Linked DNA regions of Canis lupus familiaris. The protein of the gene in region 1 binds, or shares a complex with, the protein of each later gene. Links are inferred from orthologs where the notes say so. Each region holds a gene or a part of one and is shown on either strand. Other genes may lie near its edges.

Region 1 (3,822 bases):
TGTTTAATCATCAGTTTCCATAATTAATGGTCCATGTAACTCCCTTCCAGTATCCATCTCCATTCATCTCCTATTTCTATATTTGTGTCCCCCTTCTGTTGACCTAATGATTCTTCCAATGATAAACATTCTCTAAATCAGTTTCTCAACACTGGCATTATTGACATTTGGGGTGAAGTAATTCTTTGTTGTATAGGGATTATGCTATGATTGTAGGACGCTTGGCAGCATCACTTGCTTCTACCCACTAAATGCCTGTAGCACTCCTGTGTTATGACAACCGCAGTATCTCCAGACATTGACAAACGTTCTCTGGGGGTAGGAAAGGGAGCAAAATTATCCCCAGTGGAGGGATACCTGGGTGGCCCAGTGGTTGAGCAACTGCCTTTGGCTCAGGTCACGATCCCAGGCTAACCAGGATTGAGTCCCGCATCAGGCTACCCATGAGGAGCCTGCTTCTTCCTCTATGTCTCTCTGTCTCTCATGAACAAATAATTAAATCTTAAAAAAAAAAAAAAATATATATATATATATATATGTTATCCCCAGTTGAGAACCACTATTCTAAACCCTCAACCCTACAGCAAGAACTCCTCCTTGTCCTTAGGGGTAAATCCCTCTCAAAGCTGTAATTAAAAGTATATATGTGGGATCCCTGGGTGGCGCAGTGGTTTAGTGCCTGCCTTTTGGCCCAGGGCGTGATCCTGGAGACCCGGGATCGAATCCCACATTGGGCTCCCGGTGCATGGAGCCGCCTCCTCCCTCTGCCTATGTCTCTGCCTCTCTCTCTCTCTCTGTGACTATCATAAAAAAAAAAAAAAAAAAGTATATATGTAAGGATTGCCTGGTTGGCTCAGTTGGTAGAGCATGCAACTCTTGCACTTGGGGCTGTGAAAGTCTGAGCCCCACAATGGGTGTAGAGATTACTTAGAGATCTTAACAAACACACACACAAAACAAAAAAACAAAAACAAAGCATATGTATACAAGCATTTCCATCTACCCCTACCTTCTTACTCTGTTGTTCCTTAGTAGACTGTTGGTTCAGAAGGCTCTCTATCTCCAGATCAACATCTGAGGCAGCATGTTTCCTTGATTTCTTGGTTGGCTCCTTGGCTGCTTCTGATGCTGAAGAGGCCAGACCAGAGGCCAAAGAGCTCGCAAAGGCAGCTACTGTGGTTGAGTCCTGCTCTGCACGCCGCTTCTGCCCTGTGATAGTCCCTGCTACCTCCCCAGGGCCCTTCTTTTCTGCCACCGCGCCCATCATGGCAGAAAGCTTGGAATGATCAGCATAGGTCACAAGAGTGGGATGCGCATCATCTTGTAAGAGACCTCGTTTTACCTCAATCAACTCCTGAGCTGCAAACTTCTGTAGGAGGCTTTCCACACCATCTTGAGTGGCAGGGGCATCTGGCTAGGGAAGGAGGGGAGGGGAAGGCAATAAGACACTGACCATGAACTCAAAGGAGTGGTATCTCCCAACCCTGTCTTTTCAGGTTATTACCGTGGAGATGGCAAGACGGATGGACACAGCATCAGTGGGCAATGTTAAGGCCAGATCAGAGAGGTGGTGTAGCAATTTCTTCTCTAACTCGGGGTCTGTAGCTAGTTCAGGAACTGCGGAAGCTGTGCTGGGCTTAGGGCCCCCAGACGTGGGCACAGTAGGCACTGGACTATCACTGCGAAAGTTGGGTGACAGCGCTGCCTCTGGATTTCGTAGATCTAGAAGTGAAGAGAAGTGAATAAAATGACAAAGGGCAACCACCATAGGTCTATATGCTCCTTAGGAGTCAGTTCTCCAGCTCGTACTTTCATTTCATGTAGAGAATATCTGGCCAAATTTAGCACTAGATCACCTTTCCTCAATCATACAAGCATTCACTGCTTTGCCGAGATAATCCTGGATTTTCTGTCAACCACTTACCTTTTCTCTATTGAGTATGAGGTATTTTCCTAATTCCTGTGCCTACTGTGTTTCAAAGGAAATTAGCAGCATGGTAGATTTATTTTTTTTTATTTTTTTTTTAATTTTTATTTATTTATGATAGTCACAGAGAGAGAGAGAGAGAGAGAGGGGCAGAGACACAGGCAGAGGGAGAAGCAGGCTCCATGCACCAGAAGCCCGACGTGGGATTCGATCCCGGGTCTCCAGGATCGCGCCCTGGGCCAAAGGCAGGCGCCAAACCACTGCACCACCCAGGGATCCCAGCATGGTAGATTTAAATGTCCATGGGGATCCCTGGGTGGCTCAGCGGTTTGGCGCCTGCCTTTGGCCCAGGGCGCGATCCTGGAGTCCCGGGATCGAGTCCCACGTCAGGCTCCTGGCATGGAGCCTGCTTCTCCTTCCTCCTGTGTCTCTGCCTCTCTCTCTCTCTCTCTCTATCATAAATAAATAAATAAATAAATAAATAAATAAATAAATAAATAAATAAATAAATAAATCTTTAAAAAAATAAATAAATGTCCATACCATCTCCCTTCAGTCACTCTAAATGACAACTGAAATAACCCAAATTTAGGGGCACTTGGTGGCAAAGTATGTGAAGCACCTGCCTTTGGCTCACACGTCCGAGTCCTGGGATTAAGCCTTGAATCTGGCTCTCTGCTCAACTGCAGTCTGCTTCTCTCCCTTTGCCTGCTGCTCTGCCTACTTGTGCTGTCAAATACATAAAATCTTTAAAAATAAAGGTTTTACTTTTAAGTAATCTCTACACCCAACATAGGTTTCAAACTTACAAGCCTGAGATCAAGAGGCTCACACACTACCGACTGAGCCAGCCAGGTGCCCCTAGACTGCATCCTTTAATACTCAAACACAAAAATCTTAAAAAACATTGTGGAAACCCTGGTCACCAAATGAGATTTCCTGACCATTTTTCTCACTTACCCTACTACTTTATAAACCAGGTAGTCATCACAACCTTAACAAGACTTAAGAATTCAAATTAGGATAAAATATTCCCTTTTAGGAAGCTTAGTATCTATGATCGTTTACTTAAAATACAGATGGGGGCATCTGGTTGGCTCAGTCGGGAGAGCATGCGATTCTTGATCTTGGGGTTGTGAATATAAGCCCCATGCTGGGTGCAGAGATTACTAAAAATCTTTAGGAGCGCCTCAGTGGTTCAGTCGGTTAAGCGTCTGCCTTCAGCTCAGGTCATGATCCCGGGGTCCTGGGACTGAGCCCCACATGGGTCCCCCTCCTCAGCGGGAGCCTGCTTCTCCTTCTCCCTCTGACACTTCCCTGCTTGTGCCCTCTTTCTCTCTCACATAAATAAAATCTTTAAAAATCAGGATTTCAGGGACGCCTGGGGGGCTCAGCAGTTGGGCATCTGTCTGCCTTCAGCTCGGCATGATCCTGGTGTCCTGGGATCAAGTCCAGCATCAGGCTCCCTGCGGGGAGCCTGCTTCTCCCTCTGCCTGTGTCTCTCCTTCTCTGTCTCTCTCAAGAATAAATAAATAAAATCTTTAAAATCTTTAAAATATATATATATAATGGGGCTAAAGGAAGATGTAGAAAAGTTTTAAGTCAATACTTAGGATATGGTCATTTGTTAGGCAGCTATGAAATCTTTAATATTTTAGGTAAGCCATAAATTATTATCCATTACCCTTCCCACTTATTTCATATTCAAACTTTGTGCCAAGTATCTTACATATGTTGCTGCCATTAGTATGAGTTTTATTTTGTTTTTTAAAAAAGGCTTAAGGTACCTGGGTGGCTCAGTTGGTTAAGTATCCAACTCTTGGTTTTGGCTCAGGTCCAGATCTCATGGGTCCTGAAATTGAGCCCCCTCATCAGGCTACTTGCTCAGCAGGGAG
Region 2 (3,822 bases), on another chromosome or scaffold:
ATGGTCTATTGACTGAGCCAGCCAGGCGTTCCTTTTTCAATTCTTTTAATTTTGTTGTAAGCCATTGTCCTTGCTTTCTATCCGGAAATGGTATCACATCAGGAAATGGTATCACATGCTGTATATTGACTGATTATAAAACTTGCAAAAGATTCAGGTTTTCATGGAATTCATAAACATGAATTTGATAACTGAAGCACAACTAAAACGGGCAACTGGGATGTCTGGGTTGCTCAGCGGTTGAGCATCTGCCTTTGGCTCAGGGCGTGATCCCGGAGTCCTGGGATCGAGTCCTGCATTGGGCTCCCTACCAGGGAGTTTGCCTGTGCTTCTGCCTCTGCCTCTTTCTCTGTCTCTCATGAGTAAATAAATAAAATTAAAAAAAAAAAAAATCATTGGCAAGTGAGGAAGTGCCAGTTGATTGAAGACATTATGATCAGGTAGGCATCTTAACGGAAAAATTTTAATGTGGAGGGTTTAAGAGAGGCCCTTGAGGAAATTGACGAAACCCTTGAATATTACGCAAAAAATGACTGATTTTATGATCATGCTGAAAAGTCAAACATATAATGAAGTCTATCTTCTAATAGCATTTTGCCAGGAAAAACTACTCCAAGAAACTCCAATTAATACTTGATTCATTCTTTAGGTTGTTCTAAGAATCAGCAGTTAGTTATAACAGAAATCTAAATTTTGTAAGATATTTCTTGGGTTCCTTTAATTCAGGATAAAATTCTAAACACATCTTTTAAAAAAATACTATCATGTAAGAGTGTTACTCCTTTTTAAAGTGGATTCACCTTAAATGACAAATTACAGAGGTGCCTGGCTGGCTTTGTTGGTAGAGCGCTTGACTCAATCTTGGGGTTGTAAGTTCAAGCCCCACATTGGATGTAGAGATCACTTAAGAAAATCTTTAAAAAGTAAAAAGTAAAAATAAATGGTCAGTTATATTTTTAGTTCTCATTTTCTGTGTAAAATCCAAGAACTTTTGTGGTTACGGGATTTATATTTTTAGTTGGCATGTTCAAGAAGAAATTGCTGTATTTTCTGATTTTTAATTAAAAAAAAAAAAAGGCAAGCCCAGAATGATGTCACTGTTAAATGCTGTACTTTGTTTATGGGCTTGCAATTTGTGAGTAGGTGGCAAGGTGTTAAGGGGCAGTAGACTCCCTAGAAGTTGTGGTGGACTAAGCAAGCAATTGTGACAGGTGTTCAGGGTGGTGGGAAAAGGATTTGCAGTAATGAAGGGTTGGGATTTGGTCATTCCACTAGATAAAACCATTGAGTCTTTCTAGTATCTGAAGGACAACATTGAACTGTTAAATATCTGTCTACATTAACTTGCTTTTCTACTTTATTGGAAAATCAGGAATACCTTTTGAGAAAGAAAAAAAAATGATTCATGTCTTTTGGCTTGTAGATACTTTTACATAAATAACTGTAATGGAAGCAGATGAAATACATTATTCAACTTGTTAATACATGTAGTGAAGTTTGAAGGTTGACCAAGTTGGGTTTATCCTAACTGGGGATTTTAGCTAGCCATGTAATTCCTTTCCATGAGTTTTTTCTTTGAGGATTAGCTTTTGTAAAAGTAATAGCAGAAAGCAGACTGAAAGAGATTGGAATTAATTATTAATGACCTATTTTGAATTTTGTTCTAAATATTGTCCAGAAAGAGGGGCATCTGGTTGGCTGGGTCAGAAGAGTATGTGACTCTTGATCTTGAGGTCATGAGTTCAAGCCGCATGTAGGATATAGAGATTACTTAGATAAATAAAACTTAAAATAAGTATTGTTCAGAAAGTATTGTTCAAAGCAAATTGATGTGAATTTAACACGTGTCTAAAATCCTAGTACCCTTGGAGGTCATTAGTACTAGGTTACTACTTCCTAATTTGGCTTTATTGAATGCAATGTGGACAGTGTGCCTATCAATCTTGATAGTACTATCTCCTGCATGGCAAGTTCAATAATTTATCACATTTAAAACATTACTATTTTAAAAAATTATTTTATTTGCATTTCCTACTTTAGGGCATTTCCCTTTGTGTCTTTAGTAGTAAAGGTGAATATTTACTGTATTGTAATATTTTGTCAGACTTGAAACAAGGGAGGCTATTAACCTTCGATGGAGTCAGTTCTATGAAATAATGCTCCTATTACTCATGAGAAATGAGTTCATTTATTTCATAGCTAGTAACAAGCAGAGACTTAGAAAGTGTCTCTTGTTTACATTTAGTTTAATTGCAGAAATTTTGCATACCCTTAAACTCTAATTTTCCGTTATGATGCTGTGCTGCTTACAATAGCACACTCACATTATATATCTAGAAAGGTTATAGCACAAATACATGATTGCATGTTTCTGCTATTAAATGGTGTGATAAGTTTTGCTATCCTTGAATACTTTTTAGAAAAACTATTTTACACTTAAGGAAATAATCACTTTCCTTAAAACTAACTTCATTTTCAAATGCATTATTTATTTAATTTTGCCATTGTCAGTGTTAGTTTTGTGTTTTGTTTTATTGATTGTCCTAATGTAGATTCACTTCGTTAACTTTAACAAGTGTTTTGTGTGCTTGGTGGAGATAGGGATGATTTTCTTTCTTTTCCTCCTTCTACTTCCTTTACTTTTTTTTTTTTTTTAATTTTAAAAAATCTCTTATAGTTAAAGACAGAAGTTCTTATCTCATAGTTAAAGACAGAAGTGGCTTATGAAGGGTCTTATGTTTCCTGCAAACTCTTCTGGAATCACATAAATTTTTATTGTCTACTTTTAGGGAGAGGTTCTATAACTTTTGTCAACTTTTTAAAGGGTTCTTTGTCTCAAAAAGCATTGCTTTAAGGTTTTATCTAATGTAGAGAAAATTAATGTTTAAACTTATATAGCATAATATTTAAAATCAGAACCTACATATTTAGCCCTTGATAATGTTGGGTATGTTACTTTAATACCTGTGGCAGAATAATCTTCAAAAGAGGAAAACTAAAAGAAATGACAACTTTTTTCTTCTGACATAGACAATGAGTTACAAGGCACTAATAGTTCTGGATCATTGGGTGGTCTTGATGTTCGAAGACGAATTCCTATAAAGCTCATCTCCAAACAAGGGAACAAAACCAAAACTGCGCCTCGAACTCCAAGGACTATAAACAGGATGCCTGCAAAGGCTCCACCTGGTGATGAAGGTAATTTGTTTAAACTGACAAGTCCAAAAGTCTTTCTTTTGTATCTAATTCCAGCAAATAATCCATGTGGTCTTATTTATTAATTTACTAATAATGACCTTTTTTTATCTTAATTGTCTTCACTTTTTTTCAGTCTTTCTGTTTGACTTCTCATTTTGGCATGTACTTTCCTGTATAGTATTTTTGTTTTTTTCTTTTGTTATTGAAAGTAACACTGCCTGTTGTTTGAAAATAAAAAAACCTAAATAATACTGCAGAAAGCATAATATGAAAAGTAAAATTTGTTCCTCTACTTCGACAGTACTCCACCAAAATGATTTCTGTTACAACTTTTTTATAGTATAGTAACTTTTTAATGTATTACTGCCCTTTTTTCATGTAAGATGCATTTGAAATTTTTCCACGTATCAGTATATACAGATGTACTCATTTAAGAAAATAGGTTTGGATATTTCTTTTTTATGGATATGCCGTAATTTAATAGTTTTTATAACTTCTTTGCTGTTAAAAACAGTGTTGCAGTAAATATTGTACGTATAGCTTAGCATGTATACTTGAGGTAGAACTGCATGAATTTGGGTATTTTATAAGTTGATGGATACGGTGCATTTTAGAATTTAATGG

What was found.
Region 2: METTL3 (region 1) and CBLL1 share a complex: the UniProt entries of both Homo sapiens proteins name them as parts of the WMM complex. The link is inferred for Canis lupus familiaris from reciprocal best matches to the Homo sapiens genes METTL3 and CBLL1.

Annotation. Positions count from the first base shown.
Region 1 is NC_049236.1:18,658,599-18,662,420, forward strand, and holds part of METTL3 (N6-adenosine-methyltransferase catalytic subunit), read right to left. Parts: intron 1,723-3,822; coding exon 1,505-1,722; intron 1,415-1,504; coding exon 1,010-1,414; intron 1-1,009. UniProt on the Homo sapiens protein: The METTL3-METTL14 heterodimer forms a N6-methyltransferase complex that methylates adenosine residues at the N(6) position of some RNAs and regulates various processes such as the circadian clock, differentiation of embryonic and hematopoietic stem cells, cortical neurogenesis, response to DNA damage, differentiation of T-cells and primary miRNA processing.
Region 2 is NC_049239.1:13,099,353-13,103,174, reverse strand, and holds part of CBLL1 (E3 ubiquitin-protein ligase Hakai), read left to right. Parts: intron 1-3,030; coding exon 3,031-3,198; intron 3,199-3,822. UniProt on the Homo sapiens protein: E3 ubiquitin-protein ligase that mediates ubiquitination of several tyrosine-phosphorylated Src substrates, including CDH1, CTTN and DOK1. Targets CDH1 for endocytosis and degradation.